Linked DNA regions of Astyanax mexicanus. The protein of the gene in region 1 purifies or fractionates together with the protein of each later gene. This does not show direct contact. Links are inferred from orthologs where the notes say so. Each region holds a gene or a part of one and is shown in the gene's direction. Other genes may lie near its edges. The genes, in order: tyrosine-protein phosphatase non-receptor type 12 and pstpip2.

The links.
Region 2: the proteins of tyrosine-protein phosphatase non-receptor type 12 (region 1) and pstpip2 purify together in Homo sapiens (affinity purification with mass spectrometry; 4 studies listed by BioGRID and IntAct, counting the BioPlex papers as one, with this or other methods). This does not show direct contact. The link is inferred for Astyanax mexicanus from reciprocal best matches to the Homo sapiens genes PTPN12 and PSTPIP2.

The regions. Positions count from the first base shown.
Region 1 is NC_064409.1:36,011,931-36,028,511, forward strand, and holds the start of tyrosine-protein phosphatase non-receptor type 12, read left to right. Parts: upstream 1-8,155; 5' UTR 8,156-8,544; coding exon 8,545-8,643; intron 8,644-16,581. UniProt on the Homo sapiens protein: Dephosphorylates a range of proteins, and thereby regulates cellular signaling cascades. Dephosphorylates cellular tyrosine kinases, such as ERBB2 and PTK2B/PYK2, and thereby regulates signaling via ERBB2 and PTK2B/PYK2.
Region 2 is NC_064427.1:20,968,116-20,985,048, reverse strand, and holds the start of pstpip2 (proline-serine-threonine phosphatase-interacting protein 2), read left to right. Parts: upstream 1-9,108; 5' UTR 9,109-9,190; coding exon 9,191-9,223; intron 9,224-10,690; exon of another isoform or gene 10,691-10,732; intron 10,733-13,422; coding exon 13,423-13,523; intron 13,524-16,933. Other genes in the region: sub1a (SUB1 regulator of transcription a), read left to right, coding at 3,641-3,709, 3,794-3,916, 4,923-5,031, 6,864-6,943. UniProt on the Homo sapiens protein: Binds to F-actin. May be involved in regulation of the actin cytoskeleton.

The DNA.
Region 1 (16,581 bases):
TTACAAGTCTTGTTCAACATCTCTCACAAGATAACACCTCACAATTTATACAGGAAAGGGCATTCCCACATTGTACCACTTTATATATACCAAAGGTACCACTTTATAATCTATTTACATATTGCTATTTTAGTGTATTCCCGCGTTTTATTGACAGTCCTATATAGCATCATTTCTTTGCTAGAAACTTTCTTAATGACACATACAGATTCCTACTGTTGCTGTTGTTTCGAGCTGCCGTTCATTATCCATTTTTGTGTGTGTTGTATTTTTTATACACCATTTTGCAGCATCTTTCACTTTCTATAAATATTCAGTGTACATTTTGGAAAGCAATGTTTTAAATGGGAATTTCACCCCATTTTCAAATTTTGACATTTCAGCATATACCAATTGTTAAGATGGAAAATGTTAGCAAACGCATTCAAATTGGTTTGATTCATTGTAGAAAAGTGCATATTTTAAAATTAAAACCCACAGATCTCACTTTAAAGAAAACCTAATAAATCATTAAACCACCAATGTGTTTCAATTCAAATAGTGATAAAATTGAAAAAGGAAAAAGGTGCTATTTAGTTTTATCACTCTGTTTGTACCACTTCACCATTAATTGATTTTTAAAATAATGTTTTACATAAAACTATTTTTTAAGGACTAATGGTTCTATTTATTAACACTGTGAATAATTCTTACTCAGTATGTTTTTCTGGAATAAAGCTTTTAAATCCAAACCATTCTCAACTACTTTGTTTATACTTTTGATACTTAAAACATTCAATAAAAGGTTTTTCAACATTTCAGTTGTTGAGATGGATATATATATATATATATATATATATATATATATATATATATATATATATATATATATATATATATATATATATACATATATATATATATCAGTCAGAGAGAGAGAGACAGAGAGCGCTCAGTCAGAATCTTCACTCCTTTGTTTCTTTTGTTTGAATGTTGGATTATTTTGTTTTAAAACACTATGTTTGTACCCCTTCATCATAAATAAGCTAGTACATAAAGCTTAGTTTTATGTTATTTTTGAACCCTCTCATCCCTGTTTTAATAAATAGATCAAAAACCAATAATAAAAAACAATTCAACCTTTACAAATGACAGAATTTAAATTACATTAATTAATAACTGATGAGTGGGGTTAGGTGGCCGATGCAGGTGTGTGTATATAATAATAAAATTGAGTGTGTGTGTGTGTGTGTTTGGGTTTATGTATGCGTGTGCGTGTGTATTTGTTAGTGTCAACTTTATCATAAAGTTGTCAGACAGACCAACAAAACAACGCACAGATGTACTGTATGTATGTAAATCTAATGATGATTTCAATATGAAAAAAATATCTTTATCTATTCATAACTTCATAACAATTGTTAACACAACTTATAATCTTTCTTTCTGACATTGTTACACACAATTCTACACATACAGTGTATCATACACTGCAGTGACAGTACTCTACTCCAGCATATTGTTGATAGTTTGTAGTCCTCAGCTTCCTGTGTTCCTCAAGAGTTCCTCAAGAGTTGAAACCTCCTGTATGATAAAAGATTATATCTCATTACAATAATTCAATTTTAGTACAGTCCACTCACACAAGCAGTATCACAAGAATTCTACTGTTATCGGTTCTTCATGCTTCTTTGATGAAAAAGGGAGGCGGACAAGAAGATTATTGTTTGTATGTTTTATTGCATTATCATTAAAATGTGAGGTATTTGAGCTCTGACATGCTCTTCCTGAAAGAAATAACTACATGAACAGAGCAGACAGTGCATAATACCCCTCCTCCTTCTCTCTCTGTCTCACACACACACACATACACACACACATGCTCATACAGCAGGGTTGGGTCGGTGTGTGTGTGCTTGAATTAGATGATGGGTGGTGCACTGTTAGTCACCCTGCTAAATGGGCAACAGACTGGCCTACCCCACATCACTGTGGTACAGAATTCTGTCATCAGCATGCGCACACGCACACACACACACACACACACACACACAGAACATTCATGTTTCAAATGTGAACTTTCTCTTGCCTGTGGTAATAGATGTTTTGACAAGAAACCCTAATTGAATTATATTTCTCTTTTCAGACCTGTGATTATAACCACAAATCATACTTCAGCATGACCAGGACTTTCATTTTAGCATAACAGACTCTTAAAAATAAAGGTTTTTAAATGTTACTTGACTTGTAGAGGTGCAACGATTCATGAAATCCAGATTTCAGTTCAGTCCAAAACTTTGGCTGCTTAATGAGTGGCACCTAATCATTTTTCAACATGCATGTTTATAAAATTTGTGACAAAATGCTTTATTTTTCACATATAGCAAAAATCAGCATTAAAGCTTTATATAAACATTATTATATTAAAGTTAATGCACGTACGTTTTTGGATTTGGGGGATTTAGGGCCCTCTCTGGTGAGAATGGGTAATTGCACCGAGCATGCGGTAGAATTGTTTTAAACTGGGCGGGTGTGATGCGTTCTCCTTTCAAAGCAGATGAATCTGATTCCAGGTTATGTTCAGTCAGAGAGAGAGAGAGAGCTCAGTCAGAAACTTCATTCCTTTCTTTCTTTTGTTTTTACTATGAGTGAATGAGCTACTGAGCTCTAAGTTTCCTCTTCTGAAGTCTCCATTGCTCCACCAGCCTCTCACATTCAGTAAAACTGAGCCGGATCCTCTTTTAGAGGCTGTACGTGTGACGTGAGTACGTAAAGACGCAGGACGTGGCGAGAAGAACTCCCACGAAAAGTGACCCCACACCCCAGTTCTTAGACTGAATATATTAGGCTTAGCAGGGATGGCGGTTCCAGTACACTGATAAACACAATATTTTATCCCTTCTTCATTTAGAAATGCTTCTGCTTTCTGTTTAGAAACAAAATAATATGGACTGCAACCTTAAAAAGATTTTAGGAACTTCAAAATCACAGTGATGCTCCACTGATTGCTACTCTGGGCTTGGTATTTTGCTAATTGCACTTTGCAAAAACCTGTAATAATACTTTACCTCCTCAGTTCACATGCTTCTTTCTCTTTCAGTTATAGAATTATATTTCTCGTCTTGTTTTGGTTATCTATACTTTACTGAACTAATTGTTTTCAAGACGACTTTGTACTTTTTCACAAGGTTATTTATACTTTCTACTCCTTACATTTTAAAAATAGCTTTGTCACTCATATTTCATTTCAGCTTGTTTTTACTATGGCTTATCATCGATAATGATAAACCTCTCCATCCAGATAAATTGAATCTGATTGTGGTTGGATGAGAAGTATAAAAATATACATTTCTGTTATAAACTTCTACAAAACTACTTTTAAAACCCAATTTTTGTTTTTACTTCTGCCTGACTAATAAATGTCATTACTTTTCACACCTTTGTTAATCAGACAAGAAATCAGGCAGGTCTTTGTTGTGACGGTTCTACATAGAACTATGCTAGCTGCCAGTAGAACAGGCTTGATGTTGTTGGGGAAAAAAAAAAAGTGTGTGTATGTGTGTGTGTGTGTGTGTGTGTGTGTGTGTGTGTGTGTGTGTGTGTGTGTGCATGTACGTACACTGCAGAAGTTTTAAGTTGGTGAAATCCAGGCATTTCAGAAGTGTCCAAACATGTCAGCCTCCCTCCAACATCCCAAAGTCTTCCAAACATGTGTAAATCAAACTCGAGTGTGTGCTGGATCAGGCTGGCTAGGCCTTGTGTTGGTGTGTGTGTGTGTGTGTGTGTGTGTGAGGGGATCGGGGCCTGTGTGCTTAACTTTGTAGCTCTTACTGCTTGACCTGTTTCTGTTGAACTGTGAAAGCAGCTCTGCTCTTTCTCCTTCTCAGAGAGAGAGAGAGAGAGAGAGAGAAAACAGAGACAGAGAGAAAAAGAGAGAGAGAGACAGAGAGAGAAAGAGAGAGGTTCAAGCATATTGTGTCAGCTGCATCTCAGTGCTGGTTTCAGCCTGAGGGTTACTCGTCGACACAGTGATTCTAAAAGCCCGTAGTATTGCTATAAGCCACCATGTCACTTTTGGATGATATCTGTTGAAGTTATCTGTAAAAATAAAAACTTATTTAGTCAATATTTAGTTTATCTTTACTGTAACATACTGAGGATGATGCTGATATACAATATATAAAATTTTAGATAAGAATCTCAGAAAAAAGTACAACAAATGGTAACACCGTTAAACAAATTTCTATTAAACTATTGTACTGTAACTTATAGTCCTCTTTTTATTTTTTAGTTAACTGCAATCTAAATATTTATATACAGATTTATTTTGTACATTAAATATTATTGGCAGTGGGGAACAGGTAACTGTACACATTTTCTGGCCGGTGTTATCACACAGTCCAGTAGATTGGAAACACAAGGTTCAGGGGTCATTTTCTTTTAAGAGTTATTAGTGTCAAATTAAAAAAGCAAGCACTATCATGGAAAAATGTAAATGCAGTTCACTAACATGCAGAATACGTACCAAAATGAACTGCAAAACCTCTGTTACATTACATTTTACTGCATCTCTTTATAAAAAAAACAATACACAAGAATTTACATTTTCATAACCAGCTCACAACGCACAGGATTGTTGTCTTGGAGCAGTGCAGAATTTGTGCCAAAATGAAATGTAATCATGGTCCAATCAGAACCCACTACTGAACTTGGGGTGGGGCTGGGAAAACAGTCAGAAGGGAGCACTAATAGCTGTACTTTAAACCAGAGAAAATGTCTTTTGCGACAGGATATAAGAGCAAATAAACACTCTCAGTTTCTCAGTCCCACCCCAATTTCAGTAGTGGATTCTGATAGTTCTGATAGTGGGACAGTGATTACATTATGTTTTGGCATGAATACCATGCTGCTCCTAGACGAAATGCAATCCTGTGCATTGTGATTTGCTTTCGAACATTTGCAGCGCCACACTGTGAAATACAATGGCATTAATCTGATTGCATATTAAGGTTTGGTTGCAATTCTGACACAATTTTTTTGCGTATGGTAAATTTTCAATAAAGAGATCAAGTGCAGTGAAATATAATGTAATCTTCCAATTTGGCACTAATTTCTCTCCATAATTTACCAATTAAGCAACCAAAGGCCAGTTTTAAGTGTTCTAGTTCATAGTAGGCTAATCACTTCTAGTGTAATATTGGTACATGAGATGCAGTATCTTAAAGGTCATATACAGTATATCGTGCAGTGTTTCACCTTGTTCTAGCTGTCCATGCATATTCATAAATCCACCAAAGTATTGGATTCTGGTAACACAACTGGTTTCCAGATCAGCAACATGGCACATGTAAGAGCACTGAATCACATCTACTGATTGTGGAGTTGATGAGGATTGCTGTCAGTAATTGTTCCCCTGCATGGTTTTACAGGTAAACTGTACCAAATGTCTGAGCCCAGCCAGTGGGTACAGTTGACATACTGTAACTTGTCACTGCTGTTAATCTAGAAACTATGTGAACAGAATTAATGAGGACAAAAAGAAAAAGAAAAAAGTGTAAAGGAGAAATTCCTCAAAGTCTGGAGTCTGAGGTGTTCATAGTCCACCGTCTGAATTCTAATGCCCACTCTTTTGGTACTGTGAGAGCCCAGTGCTTTTGCCCGACACTGTGGAGGGGCAGCTGGCTCTTTGACAGCTTGGGTCCAGCGTGCCCCCACAAACCAGCCTGAATGGGGCGTTTTGTTGTCATTGACGGAGCCAGGGGAACCAGGAGCGCTGTTTCTGGTTCCTTATTGAGTCCAGTTTAAGCATCAGCTCTACTTAAGGGGATCTTGGCCGTCTGAGGCCGAGGGGAATTACTGATGAATAAGGTTCCATTTAGCTCTCGTGTGGTGATGATTCACTTCAGAGCTTTGAATTCACTGCATTTCCTATAAAACCAGGCCAGAGACTCTTTTAGAGAGTTAATATTTTCGTTAGAATGGGAGAAAAGCAAAGGATTTTTCTATAATGTATAGTGTAATAACTTTATTTAGCGTATATAATAAAAACAGTGCATCAGAGTTCGACAGGATTAGTTAAACTTGCTGTGTATGTCTAATCAGACAGAAGTATATTAAATCAGTTTTACTTAGCAGTTACTTAACAGGAACTGAAAGCACTGAATAGTGTAAAATACAAATACATTATTGTACACCATCTGCAGCATTTCCTGTAAAACACATAGTTTCAAGCTCTTTTCACATACAGTATTTTATGCTGTACATTTTATACAAAGAGTGCTAATAAATGTATAGCATGTGTACACAATGTACAATTATCTGTACAGACTCCATTTCTGAATATATTTTTTGGAATTAATATAGACTTTCATATAGGACATAAAACAGCCTTGTGATAACGCAGAGCTAGTTGTATTCAACAGTTCTAAATGGTCTAGTTGTTTTTTTTATATATATATTCTCCAAAATCACCTGAAATTTACTCTTTTTACATTGACTTCCATTGAAAGTGAAGAAGATTCTTTTTTGAAGATGTTTTTCACTGGTCAGCAACAAAAGATTGTTTGTATTCTATTCTTATAGCCTGTACTGTGGTCTTGCAGTGTAGAAATAACATTTACATGATAATTATTAATAGTAATATTGTTATTTGTGGGTAGAAACTTTCACCTAAAAGCATCATGAGTGTAGATTGAGAACCCTAACATTAAAAACCTTTAAATGAATGAAATGATTCAATTATTAATGCCTATTAGGCAATGCTAAATAAAGGTTGTTTTCCATCATCAACTTTAAAAGAATGTTTATTCAATGTAATATGCTACAAAAACAACACAGAGTGTCAATTCTAAAGACAAGTACAGAACAGACAAGGGTCATCATGCTTTTTTTATTATAAAGAGAATAACATATGAATTAAAAGTTAATACAGGGAGGGTGTTTTGGCATGAAAGTAGCTGAAATGACCTACCTGCATTAGTCCTTCATTATCTTTGGGGTCAATTTGACCTTGTTTAATGTTTAATGTCTTTAAATAAATGATATATGTATATGCATATTATATAACAATTTAATGTTTACAAATGAAGTTTAAAAAAAGATTGCGTATGTGAAATAGAGGCAGAGAAAGGTGTTCCCCTTGTGTGAATATTTATGAAGCGCATGCAAAACATAGAGTGTTCTGATTGGCCAATCGTTTTTTAGTGTTGGCGTGTTCAGGATCATTATGGCTCCCATCAAAACTCATTTCACCTCTGACTACTCTAAAGTATATCCATGTTTGGTAAAAGTAAAAAACAATAAAAGTCTTGCCTGCTGTACAGATAATAGTAATAGTGATTTTAGCAATACTCTCGGGGGACTAAATAATTGCAAAAGGCATGTTGAAGTGAGTTAATGTGATATATATCACAAGGGGGGAAGGGGGTGTCCAAGTCCAGGTCCGGGGGAACCTACGTGAAAATATTTTTTGCAACTAGGTTTGTCTGCTGTATGTATTGTATGTATTTAGCCCAGCTTAGCTTAAACTATTTGGTGCCTGAAAAAAGAGGTACATAATACACATAAATAAACCAAGTTTTGATCATGTTGAGTTAGTAAAACTCCCCGAACTCCTACTGAACCGCACTGTTGTGTACCGTGTGACACCCCTGAGCTAAACAATCTTAAACCCTGCTTTGTGAAATGCTCCCTCCTCCTCTCTGTGAGAATTAGCCTGAAGACAGTGCTGTTCTGAACACTGAACAGCTCCCTCAGCTCACTCAGACACAAGTAAAAGGCAGAACAAGCCCCGTTATATCTGACAGATCAATGGTGTTAATACTGTAAACACGACCTGGTTCTGGGAATCGACATTCCTGTTCTACACAGACACACACATTTTTCTGTTTCTCGATTATCCACACGTCACCCTAGCGGTGGGCGGACCCGAGCGAAACGCGACTGGAATCTGCGTGGGAGGGGCTTACGGGCTTTCAACCAATGGTAAACTTACTCAACTGAGCACGTGACCACCAGCCTTCTCTTTTACAGCCAGCGACTCGAAGCGTTCGCGTTAGTTTGATTGACACCGGGGCTGTCCAATCAGGCGCAAGCTGCCGTGGGTCACAATCCAATCACGGAGCGTCCTTCCCACTAGAGGGTGGCAACGTGTCCGAGCGGCTTTTGGGCGGTCCAGCCAGTTTTGTTTCAGAGTTTAGTTGTTAATGTGGCAGTGAGGAGACAGGGAGGGGCGAACCGGCGTTTTGTTTGTTGTTTTTTTATTTAGATACATTTAAAAAGTATTAATATTAACTGCTTGGTGCGTTAAAGGAGGAGTGGGGACATTGTTACCTACACCCTAAGACTGTAGCTTAGCTCACCCGCTTGGATTACATGTTGTTTTCTCTCATCCGGGAGCACAGGGGAGCATGGAGCGGTAGAAGATGTTGGAATAACTGTCAGAGAAGATTTTTCTTCTTTAAGATATTTATTTAATTTATTTTTCTATATTTTTTTCGTATTCGGGAGTAGTTAACGTATCTAACTAACCGTGGGAGCAGCAGCGCTCAGGGACCGGAGTTGAGGATGGAGCAGGCGAATATCCTGAGGAAGTTCATTCAGGGGGTTCAGGCCATGCGAACAGGGGACCAGGGAGGAGAGGACAACTTCGGCAGCGACTTCATGGTAAGAAGAAAGAGGAGGAACAAGAGGAGAGACCGAGACCAGCCACACTAACACAATAAATAACCTAGTTAATACATAATTAACACACACGATCGCACTCTGTCTCTGCTGGTTTAATAGTTAGTTAGTTACCTAGGTAACTAGTTAGTTAACTGGTTAGCTTAGCTAACAGTCCTCCACCAGTGTGAAGCTGCTTTTACAGTGCCCCCTTTTCTCTCTCTCTCTCCCACTCCAGACTACTGTTCCCTGCGCTGAAGCTTTGTACAGTCTGTACTGACCTGTAGTTAGCTAGGGTTAGTTAGAAGGCTCCGCGGTGTTATGTCCAGTTATGCTACCCATCGATACGTGCTTCCTAAAGGCAATGCGCATGCGCTGACCTACACCTTTTCATTATTTCTCGCGTTTTTAAATAATAAATCATTTTTTGTGCATTAAACAACCTGGACTCACTGTCATTACACAAACGTGTAAATGGAAGCGAATATAATTTATTCAATAGCTTATAATTATTATTATAAAAAAATATATATATTTATATAAACAAAAGCAGTTTCTAATAACCCCTCATTGCCATAATAGTGATTTATGCTATCCATATATACTAGCTAGCTATGTCTACTGGGACTTTTACTGAGAACATGCTGTAATAAGGTGCTTCTTTTATATTTTTACAGTTAAATATACACACCAGGGCAGCACGGTTTGACAAGGTAGCACAGCTCGACAGAACACCGGCTGCGGCCTACGCCGACTTAGCTGCTGTAGAGTTAACTTAACATAGCTTTTTCTGTAAAAGCCCTGTAAATGTTCCTCTATGAACGGTTTAATTTACAGGCTGCGACTTGTAGTTAAAAACCCTTATTGATGTTTCTCTCCTGACGGTTAGCCGCAGCTAGCTAAATGTGGTCAGAGGGAGAGATTTCTACATGAGTGTGAGTGTGCTGTTGGGTCACATCCCTTTCTTAACTACATACCAGCTGGGTTATTTAGTTAGCTTTTATTTAAAACGTCTCTTTAACGTGTACGACAAATTTGTAACCTAGCTAGCTAACAGCTAGGTTGGGTAGTTAGCTAACTAGTTAGCTATATGTGTAAGTTACTGTATTTTCCCAAACATTAGACATAAAGCTAGTTAGGTAGTAACCTATGGTTACACGCCACTGTGAAAGCCTCTAATATTAATACTAGTGAATATTTACAGCTGATAGCTAGTTAACTAACCTATATCTGAATGGAGAGCTTCTGGTATTAAGAAACTGCACTACATATATTCTGAATTTACGGTTATAAGATGGGTTAGGACTGGGAATAGGTAGTTATCCCGCTTGTCACTTTTCACGTCTAGAACGCCTTCTTTTTGCCACACTGCTCTACTCTCTCTCTCGGCGTGTTCAGGGCGGGTCATGTAGGTGAATACTGACTGTCAACACTGTGGAGAGAACATGTTTAAATGTCTGGCTAAAATGTTAGTCTGCCTTCTGTATAAACTGCCAGCTAAATCTCTGATGTTTAGGGTTTATTTGCACTGTGAAAATCCCGGTTACAGACTTTTGTTTGCTGGCTAACATTTGGACACAGCTAAGCTAGCAGCAGCAGCCGCTAACGTTAACAGCGTCTTTGTCCAAAACCAGCGCTGTTCGCTGGGAAGCAGCGGGCGGCTCGGGCTTGTTTCTGCTCTGTTTAAAAAAAACAGAAGACAGCTTCTATAAAGAAGTCAGCACGTATGTGTATTTTCCGGAAGATATGGACACGTTAATGGGATAGTTAGTTAGCTAAACGGGCGGTTTATGGGGGTCCAGCGTGGTGGTGGCGGCGGTGGTATGAGGGAGTTCCGCGGATGTTGCGCAAGGAGCTGAGCCGTTTAAGCACAGAGAGGAAGAGGAGGGTTTCTCACTCAGTCCAACACTGAAAAAAAAACCCTGAAAACCACTGAAATAAACACGATAAACTATTGATTCCAGAATATAACGTCAACATCAGGGATAGCCGAAACATTATACACGTGTGTCACGTTGGAAGGCATTTGTTTTAATTGCTTTAAGTATGGACGATATGGCCCTTAAACAATATCACGATATTTCTTAGTATTTTCGCGATAACGACACTTTTGGCAACATGGCAAAACACCGAATTACAAAATTATTTCAAGAATACACTACTGCAACAAAATGAAAATCAATGATTCAGAATGTTGTGATACTAATAATGCACTACAAATATCTCCACATATCCAAAACTGAAGTAAAATAAATTATACTGGACAGATATAATCTGTCTATAGTAGATATATAATGGTAAATGAGAACAGTGTGAATTTTTCTTTTGCTAAAAACAGCAAAAAAGTAGTACCCTGATGTGATAATATTGGCAATATTATTGCGTACCATACAATATAGCAAATCCCTACTTTAAATGCCTGTACTAATCAACTAGCGTAATAATCATGACTGTAGACTGTGACTGTAGTCACACAAGTCATAATAACTAATGTGGGGAATATAGGGATATCCCAGCTGGGATCCAGACAGTTTGACCATGGTCTTGTCCATGTGGGTCCCACATATGGATGACTGATTGGACCATGAATGGTTACACATGGGCCCCATTTGGGAGATGCACTGCACACACAAGCTTAAGGTGGGCTATAATGCTGGGACCCATTTAGAATAAGCATGATGACTGGGACATTGGTATATAATAGCTATGACATGACTGTAGAATGGCTTAGGGTCCAATCAGGGACCCAGAACCTATTAGGACTGCATTAGACAGTAAACACTTTTTTATAATCAAAAATATATAATTTTAACATATTTTTATTGTGGTATATACAAAAAGAGACCACTTAAAATGATGTGTTTCTTTGATTTTTATTGAAAACCTCCTGAATATAATCAAGAGGAAGATGGATGACCACAAGCCATCCAACCAAGCTGAACTGCATGCATTTTTGCACCTGGAGTGGCATAAAGTTATTCAAAAACAGTGTGTAAGACTGGTGGAGGAGAACATCCTGGGATGAATGAAAACTGTGGTTAAGGTTCGGGTTATTTCACCAAATATTGATTTCAGAACTCTTACTTGTTTTCTTTGCATTATTTGAGGTCTGAAAACACTGCATTCTTTTCTCATTTTTCGCAAATAAATGCTCTAACAATATTTATATTTGGAATTTGGGAGAAATGTTGTCTTTAGTTTATAGAATAAAACAACAATATTCATTTTACTCAGACATATACCTATATTTAGCAAAATTAGAAAAAAATGATTTAGAAACTGAAGTGGCCTCTTAATTTTTTTGCAGAGCAGTAAGTTAAATTATTATAAATTATTGTCCAGCCAAATTATTGTCTTTTTGTTAAGATTTGCTTGATTCAAAATACAGAAACCTGTAGAATACCAAGATAGTCCTGATTACTGTATCCTACGAAGGTATTGCTGCTGTTGTCAACAGATATATGAAAGTGTGTTAGGCCTCTGTTTTTCTCTTTTGAGAAGTTAACATGCTGACCTGTAATGTACATTTGGGGAAGAATCTGTTGGTGAAATTTGACTTAATGTAACTTCCTGTAGGTTGCTGTTGCACATACTATACTATGTTGCCTTCCTTTCTGTATTTATAGTTTGTTTAAAAAGTCCATAAATATGTGCTTTCCACAGTTGCAGCTGGGCAGTATTTTGCAGTGGGAGGTGGGTGGGTTATTTAGTGACCGCGATGCCTTTTTAAAATCATTTAGTGATGCCATTAGATGAACTCTTATCTTACATTTTCCATTTATAACTTCTAATAACTTCAACTCTAATATGGGGTTTTGTACTGAAAACAGGTATTACATTTACACAACATCCCTCATTAATTTGGGGCTTTGTGTCGTCCATTTCTGCACAGTTTTCATGGTTCTGTTTATTTCTTTACATGGTTCATGTCCAGAGAATTGTGGATAACCGAAGGCTAAGGATGCATTAGTTGCATCCTGTAATTTGCTTCTTATGTTAGCTGCATTTCTTAGCTCTATATGAAAGGTCCTTATGTAAAAAGACCAAGTTTGCATATTTTGACTTCTTTTTACTGAAAAATGATTGGTACGTTTCATATTTTTTCCTGAATATACATCTTTTACCATAAAGAGCACATTTCAGGTTTTAATGATACAAATTCTTTAGGAGTTAGTGAGAGAAGTAAACTACTGTATATGGAAATAAGTATTGGATCACTTGCTCATTTATTGTTTATTAAAAAGAGTATACTGTTTTGTTGGAGTAACAAAAGATTTTCTATTTAATTTTGGAGCACAGCTGTGTGGATTTGGTTGCATTCAGTGACGAGATCAGAATTGCCACTCCAACTCATCTCTATGTCTAAAAACACATCCCAGAATTACTGGATGGAGCACCATTATTCTAGAGAACACTGCTCCACTGATTTTCTCTTCTCTACTTCTCTAAAGGGACTAGGTTAATTTCGTTGCACATCTGTGTCAGCAATGGGTGTCTGAGCCTACTTAATTTATTTTTATTTGAGGGTTTTCACACTTTCTTCTACAGCAGTCTCTTCATAGTCCCTCTGAGCATGAAGGGAACTGAGTCGTACAGGGTTATTAGTTTATTAGTGCTATTAGTCTGTACTGAGCGATGCTATAGACCCCCTCTGGTTTACAGAGCAGTGTCACCCTCTTCATACATTTAGCACTTTTTCTTTCCCGCTGTCCTGACCTCTTAAGGAGTGAGACAGCTTTGATTCACAGACAGCTGGACAGTGGAGGGCTTGGGTGCGACAACAGTCTGGCTTTGTTGTGTTATTCTCCTTGTTTGCTGATTCAGCCGCAGGGTGTGAGTATAGCCATGGCTTTAACATTAGAGCAATAGAGTGTAGAGTACAAATTTCATGTTCAGTATTTACTTGTATTTATTTGTAATTATTATTTTGAGAATTGGTGTGTTTGTTTTGTGAGTGGACAGGGGTCTCGTGCAGGCATTGTGTGTAACAGACAGAGCCAGAGGGCAGAGTTCACACACATTTGTGTCTTGCTGCTCCTCCTGGGGGATGAGTTGGGGGAGGGGGTGGAATTGACTTACATCTGAGCCTACATCTGGTGTGTGCAGTGCTAGAAATGAGCTTGTCCAGGCTGCCATACTTACCCTTACAGTAACCAGGCCATCTTCCATCATAAAGAAAACTCCTTCCAATGGTTCTTTGAGGTCTCATGGTTCCATAAAGAACCACTGCCTTTACTACAGACAGTTTACCAATTAACATTTTCTCACATTTCTCACATATGCCTCACTACCAGAATCCAGACTTTGATCCTAGTAGCACATTTACTATCGGAATGCCTAAATATACCTATTCCTAAATGATACTGTGGCAATTTAGACCATTTTTTATCCAAAAATCTTAAGCCAGGAAAAGTTTAAGGCCTATGTTTTATCACAGTATATTTCTTATATTACAGTATAGTTATGAAGTCAATCTGGGCAATACAAAATCACAAAAAAACAGTCAAGAATGCCCACAATGGATGTCCATGAGTATGAAGTTAAGAAAAATAAGTTTGCCAACCCTGGAACCCTGTCAGTAACGCATGCTGTAAATAATGTATTTTAAAATATCAGAAAAGTGTATAAAATCATGGAATCATGGAACTTTTCTATTGTGATATGTTTTGATATTAAATTATTGTCCAGACCAAAAAGACCTGTCATTTTAAACCACTGAGGGACAGTTTCCAGGACGTTGATTAAGCTTAATATTGGAATAATTGACTCTATCAGTGAATAGATAGACCAGGTATAGACCTGTCACGATTTTTGTTTGGACAATATATTGTGTAAGAAAGAATTTAATTACAATAGTATAATAATAACATAGCATCATAATAACTACACCCTCAAAAACACAAAGAAATTATATATTTTTTTAATACATAAAGTCACATACCAGCTGAATATAATGTCCAATACTGAGGTCAACAGAAATGACTGAGGTCATGTATATTAATATTGTATGATTAAACCTAGTTGTGATCTAAACTGCAGTATTGATGCTGAAATAAGTCTAGTTTTTAAATTATTATTATTATTGAATATTATTATTTTTTTTAAGTTTAGCTTTGGACTAAACTGAAATGTGTGATGTTTTGTTTATTGAAGAACTTGTACCCTGCTCTGCTGAACAGATAAATGTCCGAATTATCACTGCTCAACTTGCTTTCTAATGCTCAGAATTCCTCCTAGCCACCATGGTCACTACATCCTAAATGAGACCTCAGGCTGTCAGACTGCAGAAGATCAGGGAAATGAACTGTTGTCCTATTTCCAAACATAATGAGATCTGTTCTAACGTCTGGAATGTGCTTTTACTTCAGATGAGACTGGCATGAATGTAGCTGCTTACTGTAAACACTGACACCAGGAACATTTCAATATGACACCACTGCGCCTCTGTAATTCCATCATGTGCTGAGCTGGAAACACCCTGTCTGCTCCTCTAAAAGCGGCGGGTTATGCCAGCTCAGTAGTGAATTGGGGCTAGACAGGCCAGTGTCTGGCAGCAGAGCTGGCCTGGTTCTGAATGATTTTAGAACAGAGCAAAGCTGCTTAAGATGGCAAGATTTGGGCCACTGTATAAAATCAGCATTAGTGCCAACTGTCAGCATTGATACTGCTCTCTGATAGGCCCTCTCTCTGCCTTTCTGAGAGGATCAACTGCGAAACAGCAGTTTTGTAACTTGGCATTATGCAAGTGCCACAAAGTGTTTGTGTGTGTGAGTGAGATCAGATAGGTCAAACATTACACAAATGTGGTTTGAGAGCTATTGAACATATAAGGAGGGTTTTTATATCCCTCGTGCAGCTTCATGGTTAGTATCAGTTTGCCACCCAACCAACCCAGGGTTATGGTAATTTATTTTGAAGACAGTCAAGTTACAGTTGGTTTCACCTAACCTTGTTTAAGCACAAACACAATCCTTGTCCAATTCACCATGACTTCATGAGTTAAACTACTGCTGGGTGGTATGGCCAAAAATGCATATCACTGTATTTTTCACGGTATATCACAGTATTGTTTTTTTTTTTGTTATTATTTTTGCATGACTGGGCTTTAATATAGGTTTGTGAGTTACTGTACTGTTAGGAGTACATAAAATATAAAACACCAAGGCTTTAATTTAAGGCTTTTAATACTATTGGGTTTACTTTGTCCAACAAAATTACACAATATATGAAGAAATCAGACTTTATTAGCAGAAAAACAGCTGAAGAATATAAACAATAGGCCTTAAAAAGAGATACGCCACCAAGTTTAACGCACCTGCCTTTACAAAATATAAAAAATATTTTACATAGTTTCATGAACACTATAAATGGACATAAAATTTCCTTTTGTCTCCAGTCAAAAAATACATTCAAATCATCCTACAATATTAATATATTTAAAAGGCTGTAGTTACTGCTCTATTTTCCTGCAATGAAACATTCATGCAGTGAGAAATAGCAGCAGGAGGTGTTTTGATTTCTCTCTAGGCAGGTTGAAGCTAGACCAGCATTTGACTTCTCTGATGGTTCTGTTCTGCACGGTGCTCCGCAGCGGCCTCTAACGGTGTGGCGGTATGAGAGAAACGCATATCGGTTCTAGTTCCCCCCGCGGTGTACCAAATGAACCAGTATGCTGCCCAGCACTAATTTAAAACAAAATGGAAAAGCCTATTTTTAGTTGTATGTACAGTTGGTCAGGTCAGGACCCCGGATGGCTAAAGAGCAGGTATTAATTGGGTGGTGGATCATTTTTAGCACTGCAGTGGCATTGATGCATTGATGGTGTGTTCGTGTGTGTTGTGCTTGACGAGTAGATTAGACACGGCAGTGCTGCTGGAGTTTTTAAACACTTTGTCCACTCACTGTGTGCACCCTGTAAGATATAGATGTAAAGTCAGTGGC
Region 2 (16,933 bases), on another chromosome or scaffold:
CCATGAATTAATTACCTTTATGAGTATGTAATATATTTATATACAGTAAATCATGTAGTGTAGTGTAGAGGTACTGTTCTATATGTTATAGCCTCAGTTTTAGAGAATATTCACATTATTTTTATAGTATTTACTAAACCCAAATAAATATAAAATCCTTTGAAAGTCATTGAGAGTGTCTACCTGTAATTAAATCTATATACCATTAGAATTTATAAATCTAAATAAACATTAATAAAGTCAATGTTTAGAAAGAGTGTCAACACGTAATTAACTCTATATAACATTAGAATTTATAAACCCAAATAGACATTAATAAAGTCAGGGGAAAAACAGTGAGAGTGTCTACCTGTAATTAACGCTATAAACCCAAATAAACAAATAAGGTAAGTAAAAATCAGTGAGTGTGTCTACCTGTAATTGATTCTATATAACATTTGAATTTATAAACCCGAATAAACATAAATAAAGGCAGAGGAAAGTCAGTGAGAGTGTCTACCTGTAATTAACTCTGTATATCATTAGAATTTATAAACCCAAATAAACATAAATAAAGGCAGTGAAAATCAGTGAGAGTGTCTGCCTGTAATTAACTCTATATATAATTTAAATGTATAAACGCAAATAGACATTAATAAAGTCAGTGGTCAGTGAAAATGTCTACCTGTAATTAACTCTATATAACATTAGAATTTATAAACACAAATAAACATAAATAAAGTCAGTGAAAAGTCAGTGAGAGTGTCTACCTGTAATTAACTCTATACAACATTAGAATGTATAAACCCGAATAAACACAAATAAAGGCAGTGGAAAGTCAATGAGAGTGTCTACCTGTAATTAACTCTATATAACATTAGAAATTATAAACCTGAATAAACATAAATAAAGGCAGTGGAAAGTCATGAGAGTGTCTACCTGTAATTAACTCTATGTAGCATTAGTATTTTTAAACCCAAATAAACATTAATAAAGTCAGTGTGTAAAGTAATTAACTGTACACAACTGTATTAATACTATATAACATTACATAACTGTGTATCTCCTGATATTAGGAATTAGACTACATTTCCCACAGTGCATTGCGGGAGGAAGCAGCGCCCCATAAGTCTTAGCGGTGCCGCTTCCTTGCCGTGGTTATTTTGTGGCGCGCGCTGGGAGCTCGAGAGATCAAACACTGACCCGCGGACCCGCCGGACCTTCACGACCCTACCCGAACCCGCCCACTGTAGCTGCATCACGCGCGCAGGTGAGTCCCGCGTACCTGTTCGCGCGCGCGCGCTGCAGTCAGGTGTGCGGTGCAGAAGGCGCGCGCGATTTTAAGGCCCGCGCTCCGGTCTGACCCCTTTCATCTTTTACCTTCACGAGACACACTGTATCAATATTCACCTTCATCTTACGGTTATTAACGCAGCCGCTCGCGCTCAGTACCTGCTGCCCTCACTGCAGGTGTTACATGTGCTGCAGATGAGAGCGCGCGCTGCTCAACGGCCTATATTAGCGTAATTGCACTATATAGTCAAATGTAGGGAGAGTTTTTTTGCGTCGACACGCCCACAATCTGCCCAAGTGATTTGAACGTTGGGTATACGTTGGCTGCTCACTTGGAAAAAAAGGTTCTATATAGTGAGGAAATACGTCTTTGTTGGACCATACAGAAATATTACAACTGTCTTTGTAATTATAGATTCATATAACCAGTTAAACCAGTTATGCACTCATATTTACTTTATATAACATTTTAATGAGATCAAATTAACATGAAGTCAGCGAGAGTGTCTACCTGTAATAAACTCTATAATATTACAATTTATAAACTCAAATAAACATAAAGTCAATGAAAAATCAGTGAGAGTGTGTACCTGTAATTAACTCTATATAACATTTGAATTTATAAAGCCAAATAAACATAAATTCAGTGGAAAGTCAGTGAGAGTGTCTACGTGTAATTAACTCTAAATAAAATTACAGTACAAAACCCAAATAAACATAAAGTCAGTGGTCAGTGAGAGTATCTACATGTAATTAACTCTATATTACATTAGAACACTAAACCAGAATACACATAAATTCAGTGGAATATCAGTGAGTGTCTACCTGTAATTAACTATATATAACAATAGAATTTATAAACCCAAATAAACATAAAGTCAGTGAGAGTGTCTACCTGTAATTAACTCTCTATAACATTAGAATTAATAAACTCAAATAAACATAAGGTCATTCTAAAGTCAGTGAGTGTCTACCTGTAATTAACTCTATATAACATTAGAATTAGTAAACTCAAATAAACATAAGGTCATTCTAAAGTCAGTGAGAGTGTCTACATGTAATTAACTCTATATAACTATAGAATTTCTAAACCCAAATAAACATAAAGTCAGTAAAAAGTCAGTGAGAGTATCTACCTGTAATTAACTCTATATAACATTATAATACTAAACCTAAATACACATAAAGTCAGTGGAAAGTCAGTGAGCGCTTCTACATGTAATTAACTCTATATAACATTAGATTATTTAAACTCAAATAAACATAAAGTAATTGGGAAGTCAGTAAGAGTGTCTACTTTTAATTAACTCTATGTAACATTAGAATCTATTAACCCAAATAAACATAAAGTCAGTGGAAAGTCAGTGAGAGTATCTAATGTAATTAACCCTAAATAACATTAGAATTTCTAAAGCCAAATAAGCACAAAGTCATTTTAAAGTCAGTGAGAGTGTCCACCTGTAACTATCTCTATATAACATTAGAATTAATAAATTCAAATAAACATAAAGTTTTTAAAGTCAGTGAGAGTGTCTACATGTAATTAACTCTATATAATATTAGAATTTCTAAACCCAAATAAACATAAAGTCAGTAAAATCAGTGAGAGTGTCTACCTGTAATTAGCTCTAAATGACATTATAATACTAAACCTAAATACACATAAAGTCAGTGGAAAGTCAGTGAGAGTGTCTATGTGTAATTAATTCTATATAACATTAGATTATTTAAACTCAAATAAACATAAAGTAATTGGGAAGTCAGTAAGAGTGTCTACTTTTAATTAACTCTATGTAACATTAGAATCTATTAACCCAAATAAACATAAAGTCAGTGGAAAGTCAGTGAGAGTATCTAATGTAATGTCTATGTGTAATTAATTCTATATAACATTACAGTACACAACTCAAATAAACATAAAGTCAGTGGTCAGTGAGAGTGTCTACCTGTGATAAACATCTATATAACATTAGAAAAAAGCTAAAGCCAAATAAACATCATTATAGTCATTGTAAAGTCAGTGAGAGTTTCTACCTGTAACTATCTCTATATAACATTAGAATTAATAAACTCAAATAAACATAAAGTCATTCTAAAGTCAGTGGGAGTGTCTACATGTAATTAACTCTATATAACAGTATATAACTATAATAACTCTTATATAACTACATTTCAAACAGTGCATTGGTATATGGTAAAGTCTTTCGGTTGGTAAAGTTTTAGAGAGAATCTGATGCACACCTTTGTTTCACAAACCAATCAGTGTGAAGGATAAAGAGACTCCGCCCCTACGTAGGTGATGATGAGAGGATGTAGCAGGTTGACAGTGTTTTACAGTGATGTTTATATTATCTTGTCTCTCCAGAAAATGCCTAAATCAAAGGAAGTGCTGTCCTCCTCCTCCAACAGCGACTCGGACAGTGAAGCCGATACGAAGGTACGTCGCTGATGATCTGTAGCATCAGTGGATCAATAATCTGATCACTTCTGATTGGTTGTTTGTTCGTTTTATCGGTTTCAGGCTAAGAGGAAGAGGCAGGCGACGCCGGAGAAATCCTCCAAGAAGCAGAAGAGTGGAGAGTCCTCCAAAACCTCCGGCTCCTCCAAAAGCAGCGGCGGCAGCAAAAACGACAACATGTTCCAGGTCAGGAGTCTTCATTACTGCATTACATTACTGTTATATTGTAATTGTAATTACTAGAGCTGTCAAACAATTAAATGATTACTTATTTAATTGTTTATTTTAATTGTTTTATTTGTTTAAATTTGACTAATAGAGTATAGATATTTTCTGATTCGATTCAGGCAAAATTAAACAAAATTAAACTAGATACACAGTGTCAGTCAAAAGTTTGGACACATCTTCTTATTAAATTTTTTTTATTGTTCTTCCTACATAGTAAATGAATAGTAAAGTCATCCATACTACTATCTGGGGAGCTGTTAATTTGCTGGTAACTCTAATGAACTTATCCTGTACAACAGAGGTACTTCCTGCTCTTACTTTCCAGGGGCGGTCTTGATGAGTGCCAGTTTCATCCTTATAACGTTTTTGATGGTCTCTGCGACTGTACTTAAGAACACTTTTAAAGTTCTTAAAATGTTTAGAACATTACTTAAATAGAGCTATTCACTGTATACTAACTGTGCCTCTTCACAACTTTACAACTGATGCATAAAGCTGACTGAGAAAATGCAGAGATGTAAAGAATGTAAAATATAAAACATATTCTGGTTTATTTAACACTTTTTTGCTTTAATAAAAAAATGTATATGTTTTTCTTTATAGTTTGGATGACTTTAGTATTAATTTGCAATGCAAAAAATTAAAAGTAAATTAAGCAGTGCCCAAATGTTTAACTGGTACTGTATAATCATAGGTGATGACAGAGACCCCCCATATATTTAAATAATTAAATTTAAACAGAAAATAAATAAATAAATAAAACAAAAAATATATTAAGAATAAAAAAAAAAACAGAATAAAACAATACAGAGTTTATAGTCCCTAATTTTTACACAGTTTCTCTGCTTCTTTTAATGAAGTTCGAATCAGAAATAATGAATATTCCTTAGTTATTATTATCATCATCATCATTAACAGCTAAAATATAAAACTGGTCCTGTCACACTTGTCTATTTTCTCTAAGATAGGGAAGATGAGATACGTGAGTGTCCGAGACTTCAAAGGGAAGGTGCTGATTGATATCCGTGAGTACTGGATGGATCAGGAAGGAGAAATGAAGCCGGGGAGGAAAGGTATCTGACCTGTTACTCTTTACTAACCACCTGTCGAGGATGTTTCTTTTATTTGGAAAGGAGAATTAAGTATTTTGCTTAAAATAGCCTAAAGTGGTCTAGCGGTCTAAAGCGCTGCCATTATGATCGGGAGATCGCCGGTTTGAATCCCAGTCATGCAACTTGCCATAAGCTGCTGGATCCTTGAGAGAGCACAATTGTTCTTGCTCTCTCTCTTGGTGGGCATAGTAGATGGAGCTCTTTCTCCTCATCACTCCTAGGGTGATGTGGATCAGCACAAAGCACAAGCGTCTGTGAGCTGATGTATCAGAACTGAGTCGCTGCGCTTTCCTCAGAGCATTAGCGCTGTGATGATGCTACTCGGTAATGCTGAAATAAGCAGCAGTTTAAAAAGAGGCGGAGTCTGACTTCACATGTGTTCACCCTCCTGGTGTTGTGGCATCACTATTAATGGGTAGATACAGCTGAATAGCAGCTGAATGGTGGGAAAATTGACCTAGCTAAATTGGAGGACAATTTGAAAGTATAAATAACCTAGAAAAGTAGAAATAATTAATAAAAAAAGCCTAAAAAACTTAACTGTATGTAAGTATTTATGTGTAAGTTTTTCTTCAGTAAGGCCAATTTATTCTTCATCACTAAGTTAACTTGCTGCCTAAGGTGTAGCCTGTGTGAGCGCCCTACGTAGCTGTCTGCTTCCTCAGTTTAAACCACGAAGACTAGAATGTGTGGGCTGTTCAGATGTATAAATTGGCCTTTAAGCACTAAAGACACTGTACTACTGCTACTGTGAGCTGATTGGCTGGTTGGTGAGCTGATGCTGGAGTTACAATCAGAGCACGGATTTTAAAAGCTTTATTACTAGGAGTTTTAAAGCTTTAAGAATTTTAGAAACCTTTTATTTTGTTCTGTGTTGAGGGATGAGTACAATATTTTAGTTTAAAATTATTAAACATTTATAAACTGTAAAAATGTTGCTCCATTGTGCCATATGAACCCATTTATTTTTAGACTTACCCAAGAGCGACCTCTGGTGGTCAAACAGGTCTGTAAGAGACCCTGAAGTGAGTCTTATCCTGTTGTCCAAAAGCATTTAAAAAATAAGGGTACCACTTTAAAATAAGACTACCTTTATAGGGTTTATAAATGGTTTAGAATTAGTTTATTAATATTTACTAATTAGGTTGCAAATGCCTTAAAAATCCTTAATAATCAGTTATAACACATATACGTAGAAAGGGCAACAATGACCTGTTGTTTGCCAAAAAGTGAACCCACAGCCATCTTCAATGTTGCCCTTTCTACGTATGTGTTATAACTGATTAATAATGATTTTTAAGGTATTTACAACCTAATTAGTAACCATTAATAAATTAATTGTAAACCATTTATACACCCTTTATAAAGGTAGTCTTATTTTAAAGTGGTACCAAAATAAATGCATTAAAAAAAACATTAAAAATGCTAAACATTTAATGCTCATCAGATTTTGTACTCGTCTTTTATATTGGGGAATTTTGTGCAGTTTTGATATTTAATTTTATTTGATCTTTTATACATGTAGTTTTCATGTTCCTTCATTTCCTAAAAATGCTCTTAAATTCACTTTGCATGCATATGTTTGTTTAAATTCTGTAATAATTATAAGAAAATATGGGTCCTGGACTAAGACCAGTTTAAAAACCCTGTATTAGAGTTTCTCTAGAGTTTCCCAACAAATGCAGGATAAACTCTTTTTAATACCCTTTGATTTCAGAAGTACTAGTGATCGAGCAGCTGTCCCAGTATTATAGTAATTTGTTGGATCTGTCTGTGTGTCTGTCTGTTCTCAGGTATTTCCCTGAACCCAGAGCAGTGGAATCAGCTGAAGGAGCAGATTGATGATATCGATGAAGCCGTGAGGAGAACATAAACACTCCGGGAGCCGACGCCGCTGTCTGATCTATTCATTCCCGCTCCGCGCTTTACCCACGTTTTATATAAAACAGATTAATAATAATCCATGGAGAGTTCTAGAACTGATCTGTACCTGTGTTTTAGATTAGGCCGATCGCTGTGTTGAGTTTACTGTTCCTTTTCTTTTCTACTGACCGCGGTCCTCATAACTCCGTAATGATTTTGTGGATGAGTGTGTTTGTGGGGGGTGGGGGTGGGGGGAATAGCCTGTGTTCACTTTTTACAATAAAGTTGATGGAAAGTTAAAAATAATCACCAGTGCTTCAGTGTTTGTGTACTTACTGAATTAGAGTAAGGGAAAGTTTTGGGTGTGTCCCAAATCAATCTTTGTTCCCTTCACACTTTCTTCAGGTAGTTTTTTTAAATTATACTATTTTAAGAAACTACTAATAATTCCATTTCCTTACTATGTTCCTCACAGTGGAAACTGACAGGTTAAATCTCTGAGACAGCTTTTTGTATCCTTCCCCTGAACAACTATGTTGAACAATCTTTGTTTTTAGATCATTTGAGAGTTGTTTTGATGAGCCCATGATGCCACTCTTCAGAGGAGATTCAAATAGGAGAACAACTTGCAATTGGTCACCTTAAATACCTTTTCTCATGATTGGATACACCTGGCTATGAAGTTAAAAACTCAATGAGGTTACCAAACCAATTTTGTGCTTCAGTAAGTCAGTAAAAAGTAGTTAGGAGTATTCAAACCAATAAAATGATAAGGGTGCCCATACTTTTGCACCGGTCAAATTTTGGTTTAATGCATATTGCACATTTTCTGTTAGTACAATAAACTTCATTTTAATCCTGAAATATTACTGTGTCCATCAGTTATTAGATATATCAAACTGAAATGGCTGTTGCAAACACCCAAATTTTTACAACTAAAAATGATTAAGATTAATAGGGGTGCCCAAACTTTTTCATATGACTGTAAACATAATACCATCTCTTGCAGTGTGACAAAAAGCAAATCAATAATTTTGAGTATATGTATGTATAAATGCTCATTGGTATTTAAATTGTGGGGAACTGACACCAGTAAATCCATAATTCCTGCTATTTACTTACTTAGAAGTATCTTGTTTCTCAGTGGCATAGTCACTGTGAAGGGTGGGGAATAGTTTTGTGATATATTTATTATCGCTGAATCGCAGTTTTGAGATATCGCTGTTATCATTAATTTACCACAGCTGAAAGGTGCTGGAAAAACTTAAAATGGGCCTTGAAAATGCTTAAATTTTACATTGTAAAGGGTGTATGAACCATGAATATTGTATTTTGCTATACAAAAGAATCCATTTGATCAGGGTCCCGGAAAAAAAAAAAAAACATTGCTTAGGGCCCCAGAACTTCCAAATCCGCCCCTGCCCACAGTAAATGTGTGCAGCAATCAAAGCTTAAAGGCACTCCAACCAAATACTAGACCAGGGGTGTCCAAACTTTTTTTTGGGGGGCCAGAGGGGGCCGCTTTTAGACTCTTTGGCCCGTTTTTCTGCGCTAGAAATGCGCACCCTCTCCGCTTTTAGACTCTTTGGCCCGTTTTTCTGCGCTAGAAATGCGCTCCCTCTCCGCTTTTAGACTCTTTGCCCCGTTTTTCTGCGCTAGAAATGTGCACTCTCTCCGCTTTTAGACTCTTTGGCCCATTTCTGACACCTAGCGTTCAAACTTTGAATCTCACATTATAAAAACCTGCTTAACAGCGGGCCAACTTTCATTCTATTTCTAAAATACCTCTCGGGCCGCTCCAAAAAAGGAAACGGGCCGCAAATGGCCCGCGGGCCGTAGTTTCGACACCCCTGTACTAGAGTGTGTGACTTTTTTTTTGGTGACAATTTTTTTTAAGCCAGGCTGTGTGCAAAAAAAAAATATGCCAAATTGAGATCTATCTTTTGGTCTTTCCTCCAAAACAGTTCCAGATTATCATATGGCCACACTTGGGAAAAAATTGCCCCAGACTGAAGTGCACTAGGTAGGGCACTAGGCCTCAGTTTGAGACACACCCTTAGTATGAGCTGCATTGGCAGACTTCAGCCAGCAGGTGGTGGAAAGGTGCAGCAGCGTACAGTCAGAAGTGAGAAACAGCGCCACCTGAGGCCACATTAACTTCTGTATAACGTGTAACAGTAGCAGCAGGAGCAGCAGTAGTCAGTCCAGCAGTCTGCTCCAGCCTCTCACACAGCTCACATCTACCGGCTCCAGCACCATGAGAGACCTTCACTTTAAAGACAACTTCTGGGTAAGAACTTTATCCACCATTTACTCACTATTTACTGCTTACAACCTCTTTATTATTTAATATAATCAACATACAGTGCTGTAAACTAGTTAAACAGGCTGCCTGTATCTTAGAGGAACCTCGGCATATTATTAAAATACTTATATATACTTAATTAGTAATAGATATATCCACTTTATTATAATCTGAGAACTTTTATCTACAGTTTTTTCTGCTTTTCACAGTATAGAGCTGTTTTTCAAGGGAACTTCCTCCCTATACATAACAGCAAAACCTTTTTGTGGTCGCTTTCCTCAAACCAACTGTCATAATCTTATTTCACAAAAGAGGTGGTTGTTTTTTAATGTATATATGAAACCAGTTATTATTTTTTTATTATTTAAAAATGTTCTGCTTTCAAACTATTGAAAAAAACATATGAAATTAATTAGTATACAAATTAAAAAGTGGTAACCAAACCAGAATATGTTGAATATTTTACATTCTTCAAAAAGTAGCACCTCTTGCTTAGATAGAGACAGTTTTGCACATCTCTGCTGGATTTTCTCAGTCAGTTTTATGAGGTAGAGTCAACTGGAATTCAGGCTTTCAGTTAACAGCTGTGCTGAACTCATCAAGAGATAATTCCTTGAATTTCTTGTCTCTTAATAAAGTGTTTGAGAGCATCAGTTGTAAAGTTGTGAAGAGGTGGAGTTACAGGTATACAGTGAATAGCTCTATTTGAGTAATGTTCTAATCCAGATTATGAGAAGCAGAATTAAAGAAATAATTAAAGAATTAAGAAAGAAGTTAGTCAATTTCAAAGCCAAAACGTTTCAAATTTTGTGCAGTTCCAGCAAAGACCATAAAAATACTTATAATGATAATAATAATGGGGACCACCCCAGGAAAGCAAGAGCAAGAGTTCCCTCTGTTGCACAGGATAAATTTATCAGAGTTACCAGCATCAGAAACTAAAACATTGTTTTTACACATATAGAGGAATAATAATAACTTTCACTTTTAAGATCATTGAATTTTGGCGTTTCAATTATTATTCATTTAGCTCTGATCTCAAAAACATCAAGCTATTTACGCCTCTATGTCCAAGAATTCTCTGTCCATCCTGTCATCAGACATTTGTTAGAGGTAAAAAATACAGGAAAGGGTATTTTTATGTAGAACACTGCTATGCAAAATTAACATTTAATTTGTGTAAACTTGACAGATTATTATTGTAATTTAGCAGTGATTTCAATCACTGTAAATTAATTTACATTTTTTTTCAGTAGAGTTATTTACTTATCGTCTGTAATTTTAACAGGAAAACTCTGGTAACCACAGCTGCCAGCGTTTTCCTGTAAAAACTACAGTTTTTTTTTTACAGTGTAGGAATAACCCTGCCCCTTTAAGAAACTAACCTTTGACATCAGTGACATCACAAATAATATTTATACTGTTTTATTCTATTTTCAAAGGACTGAAGACACTTGCTGCTGCTTGTTTAGCAGTAATTGACAATAATTTACAGTAATTTTATGTAATATTTCTCATATTGTCTCCATACTTACAGTAGTTTAAACATGTAAAGTTTAGGCTTAAGTTTAGGTCCTTCATGTCCCAGTAAAATATCATTGTTGGCTAAAAAAAAATCCTTCAAGACGGTTAGCTTAGCTTATTTTAGGACATGCTAGCCTAACTTATTAGTGCCAGTTCCACCGTTAAAATCTATAACAAACAGTGTAATTAACTTTCTAACTAATTAATGTATGTATGTAAGCTATTAATTGTTGGTCAGTAGAACGTTTTCTGAACAATGCAGTTAGCTAACATTCTTAGAATGTTATAGTAAATCTGTCAAGTTTTCTGGATGTTCTTAGATTTTTTATGTGTTTAAATGTTCTGGTAACATCACTTTTAACGTTTTTACTTTTAACGTTTCCTTAAAGTTAGCATTCGACCAGCTGGGATTACTATTATTATGTCAAGCATTTAGAACATTTTTTGGAACATTATCTCTGTATTTTTACAGTTTATTTGTCTTGAAACCTTTTCAAAACGTTTCTAAACAATCTTGTAAGTTGTTCTTGTTCTTTGAATGAATTGACTTCTTGGAGGAACTTCAAATGGATTATTAGTAACGGATAACTTAGCTAGCTAACTAATTAGTGCCAGTTCCACCATTAGAATCTATTAAAAATACCTTAATTAACTAATTAACTGACTGTCTAACTAATAAATGTATCTTGTAATTGAATACTATTCTTAACAGCAAATTATCAGCTGACATGACCTGTGAGAAGATCAGAAATGAATTATCATAACAGGTAGTTTAGATACTACTACTAGTTTAGATACAACTACTAACTAATTAGTTCCAGTTTTACCGTTATAATCTATAATAAAAAGCTTAATTAACTAATGAACTAACTGTCAAACTATTTAATGTATCTTGGAATTAAATACTATTCTTAACAACAAATTAACAGCTCACATGACCTGTGAGAAGATCTGAAATTGATTATTAGTAACTATAATAATATTAAAATTCCTTAAACATTTTTTTATTAAAAGTGCAAGTCAGTGGAGTTAAGTTTGGTCTAAAGCTCAGACAGTCCAGGCTTCATTATGTTGCTTTCTAATGTTTTGGAAAGTGCTATTAGTCTGTCTAAACCTTTATTTTGACACATGGCTAATGCTGGCTGTGGCTGCAGGCCTGTGATTATGTGTCTGGCTGCAGGCATGAATTACAGCGCTGCTAGAAGCTGCTGTGGATAATGATAGCCAAACCTACAGGCTGGAGTAGGAGAACTTGGCTAAACTGTAGTGTTTAGACTGCTGTACAGTGGCTATTTCCACAGCGCTGTAGTAATTTAACACCTAATCTAGCGGGCCGCTGTGTCTGGGAGGATATTGTGAATTATTTACTTAGTAAGGGCCTATTAAAAGCAAAATTCCTTGCTTTGTCTAAACATTAATGAGTGTAATGTTGTTTAAAAAATATGCTCAATTCATATGGATGTATGGATATTTTTTAAACTTTAATGCATATTTTTTATAAGGCAACAAAAACCCAAAAAACAGTGTAATAACTGTATCCACATACTCAGTTTAGCCTCACGTACCTACTCACTAATGCTGTTATATGATGCTTAAGTTGTAAGGAGTGTTTCAGCACATGTTTTGTATATACGTTGTGTGGAGTTATCTTGTGAGTGAGCTGTAAAGGCAACATGAATTATATAAGTAACCACTGGTTAAAATATATTACAAGGAGTTCCTGTAAGGTCAGTCAATCCAAAAACATGTCAAATTTTAACTTAGAAAGTATCTTCAAGTGCAGTTGCCACAAAGATCATGAAAAATGTTATAATGATGAAACTGGCACTCATCAGGACTGCTCCAGGAAAGCAAGAGCAAAAGCAATTAAAGGACCAATGCATAAAATGAATTAAAGGACCAACCACTGGCTGAAATATTACTAGGAGTTCTCGTATGGCTTAACCCAAGGATAAAGTCCCGCCTTTCAACAAAAAGAGCCAATCTGCTTGCTGCTTACTCTGCGACTGGAGATCAGTCTGTATGCTAGTAAGCACCTCCTCAGTGAGGAGATATGCGCAAGTGCAGTAGCCAGAATAAGAAGCCGAATAATCACGTTCTGTGCATTTTATAGCCAAATGCTAGTCTAATGCTACAAACTGTTAATGATGTTATATTAGATTTTATCAGTGATGTAAAATATGTTTTTAAAATTATAATCTTATCTGTGGTTTGGAGTATTTTGATCTCTTCCAATTTTAACATATTGGGAGGCTGGTCTTGGGTTACTCATAGGGCCCTTACTCTTACCCATACAATTTAGCTCCGCCCACTTAACTGAAGTTACAAGGACTGTTTCACAAAGGATAAATGAGTGTTTTTTTAGTTTATAAACCCATAAAAACACCAACACCTAGGACATTTAGGATATTGGCTCTTTAAATCTATGATTTAAAATATTTTTAGTTCGTAAAACACATTAGAAAATGTGTTAAAAGTGGACCTTGTGGTATAAAATACATACAATTGAGAAAAAAATATAGGCTAAGGACCCTTTAATGGTGTGTCAGTATGGCAGTATGTGCTGATGTATTGATTATTAATGATCTGCCGTGTTTGTAAAAGGAGTTTGAGTCCAAAGTTCACTAAAAATATCTTTATTTTCTTCCTTATGTGGACAGAGCAGTGAAATCACCAGCACAGCAGGATACGACGCCATCATCCAGCACCTGAACGATGGGAAAAAGACGTGCAAAGAGATCGAGGACTTCATGAAAGCCAGGTGAGAACCAGCATCATTAATAGTCATCAATCAATAATCATGTAAAAAATGAGCATTTACCACTGCAGTTCCAAAGGTTTACTAAATCAGGGCTAATTATTATGAATTATATTAGTAAATTGTATGCATAAAAATAGACCAGAAAATAGACGTTTATTGATAGTGTACCTTATAATCTGGTTCACCGCATAGTGCGAAAAATTCACTAATCTACAGTTACAGTAGATACATAATTAGGGCTGCACAGTATAGGGAAAAATCTGCGCTGAGCACTCAAAACCTGAGAAAAAGAGCAAAACAACAGTAATCAGCCCTTTAATCAGCCATTTAAATGGCTTTTTAAAAGGTAAAAAAGTGCGTTTTTCTGGGATTAAAAGTGTGAATTCAGCTATAACAGGAAATATCCAGACTACGAATAACTCTAATTAGAAGTTGAAAATGCGATTTTTTTATCTGGGCTGTGGTTTGCAGCACCTTTCACATCTGCTATTTTGGTTTGGACTAAACAAGGTAGATGTGAAACATTTTTGAACCTGGTATGGAGAACATTGAGAACCTTAGTCTTAATTATGTGACTTATTTTAGAGTGAGTTTGGAGGAATTAAAAGTCGAATTTGCGGAGTGTTCCTGTTTAAAACTAATTTTTAACTGTATTATAAACGTGATGACCTTTAAGTTGGCTCAGTTCTGCACCCCAGCACTTTCAGAAAGCGCTTTTAGGGAAATACAGTCATCTCTCGCTCGTCTTTAAAGAGAAAAAAAGCATATTCAAATGGCCAGTCTTAGCACAGGATGTCCTCTTTCTCACCTATAAATTATTTTAGGTATTGTTTCCTCTGGTGTCACAACAAACAGCAAGAGTAGCCAAAATTACGTAGACTATGTAGATAAAACTGCCAAAAATATTCGCTCGAATGCCTTTGCATGCATATGAACTTGAGTGACATCCTATTCTTAACCTTTAGAACCCTGCAGACGTATTTTCCGTCCAAAATCGCACCTTGTGTTCTCAGCTTAATTACTCAGGAATCTCTTCACACTTAAACATAATCCATATATGGTTAGAAAGGGTGGAATTAATCTTTTTAAAAATAGTGATGCAGTGCGGTAAAGTATCTACAAGAAACCCATTGAGAAAAACATTTAAAAAAGTGAGATCTCCGTCCCCCAACCAATATTATTTACCTTTAGTGCTTCAAACATATTTATATGATGTTTCAAACCAAATAATATCAGTAAATAAAGACTCAAAAGTGTCCCACAGAAAAAGTGTGAAACTACCTGCTTTACCCAAACTAAAGCTAGATGTGACACTACTTTATATAGCTTTTATTTTACTAAGTAGTTATTTTGCACTAATCATTTTTATTTATTTGGACTAAAAAGTTTACATTTTTGTATATACAGTAGTTTTCTTTGTGTGTCCTGATCCTCAAAATGCTGAGGATGCCTGCTGATTTAATGGTTTTTAATGTTTTTTCTTATCCTGTTTTTATGTTTTTGTTTGTTGTTTTTTTTTTAAGTGTTACTTATTTGTGTTTTATGTCAGGCCATCACTGTAAATAAGAACTTGTTCTTAATGATCTGCCTGGTTAAATAAAGAAGAAAAAAAAAAAAAAAAAAAAAAAAAAAAAAAAAAATACTGAAAGGCACAGGCTGCTCTGAGTGTCAGGTTTTTAGTATCTATATGTATCCTAGAGGTGTGATTATCAAGAAGAATAACTCCGCCTGATGCTGTTTCTCCATGTATTTTGTCAAAGTAATAATTAATAAGCCATGCAATTAACTATCATCAATATTCTTATGCTTTCAACTCATAAACACTCTAGTCTAACCATTTTTAAAAGATATCTTAGGTGTGAATATATTTAAAGTCTATACATTCAAAAATAAGTAAAAAAAACAAAAAAAAAACAAGCGCTTGGTTAAATTTTGACCAAAACATGATCAGTTCCAGGAAAATATAACAATTCTGCTTCCTTTTACATTTTAAATGATTATATTTTTGAGCAGCCGTATGTCTTCTGGAGTAAAAGAGATCAGGACATGTGTCTGTCTGATATAATTACTGTGTTATAAAACCTGAAAGAGGAACTGACAACAAAAACGAAAAATAAACACACCAAAACAAAAAAAGTTCAAAAAGTTCATCTATAGGGTTTAATAGGATGGTGGTCCACCTATTACAGCTATAACAGATTCAGCTTTTCTAAAAAGGCTTTCCACAAGGTCTAGGAGTGTGTTTATGTGTTTATGGGAAATTTTGATCACTCTCATAGAAGTGCGTTTGTGATGTCAGACCCTGATGTTGGAGAAGAAGGTCTGGCTCGCGGTCTCTATCAGTTTTCTCTCAGTTTGAGGAAGAGATATTTACATGAAGTCTTTTTTTGCACGCCCAAGTCAAGTGTCAAGTCTTTAGTCACGAGTCTCTAAAAAAGGTAAAAGTGTCATGTCACTTCTGCTTATAATTAATCTTCTATCGTCTTCTGCTAAAAGATTGCTCTGGTGTTGCTCTCTTAGATGGTTACCATGTTGTTGCTGTGTGGTCGGTATGATATTCCAGGTGGTTGCCATGTCGTTGCTATATAATTGCTCTGGTGTTGCTATGTGGTTGGTATGTTATTCTAGGTTGTTGCCATGTTGTTGCTCAGTAGTTGGTATGCTATCTCAAGTGGTTGCCATGTTGTTTCTATGTGGTTGGTATGGTATCCCAGGTGGTTGCCATGCCGTTGCTAGATGATTGCATTGAGGTTGATTTCTGGTAGATATGATATTCCAGATAGTTGCCATGTTGTTGCTAAATAATTGCTCTTGTGTTGCTATGTGGTTGGTATGTTATTCCAGGTGGTTGCCATGTTGTTGCTGGATGATTGCTCTTGGTTTGTTAAGTGGTTGGTTTGTTATCGCTTGTTGTTACCATGTTGTTGCTAGGTGATTTACCTGGAGTTGCTATGTGGTTGATATGCTATCTCAGATGGTTACCATGTTGTTGCTGTGTGGTTGGAATGCTATCTTAGATGGTTACCATGTTGTTGCTATGTGGTCGGTATGATATTCCAGGGGGTTGCCATGTCATTGCTAGATAATTGCTCTGGTGTTGCTATGTGGCTGGTGTGTAATCCCACATGGTCGCCATGTTGTTGCTAGGTGATTGCTCTGGGGTTGCTATGTGGTTGGTACATTGTTCCAGGTGGTTTCCATGTTGTTTCTAGTGGTTGATATTCCATCACAGGTGGGTGCCATGTTGTTGCTAGGTGATTTTTTCTGGTGGTGCTATGTGATTGGTATGCTATCTCAGGTGGTTGACATGTTGTTGCTTTGTGGTTGATGGGTTATCCCAGGTGGTTGCCATGTTGTTGCTAGGTGCTTGCTCTGGTGTAGCTATGCAGCTGATGTGTTATCCCAGGTGG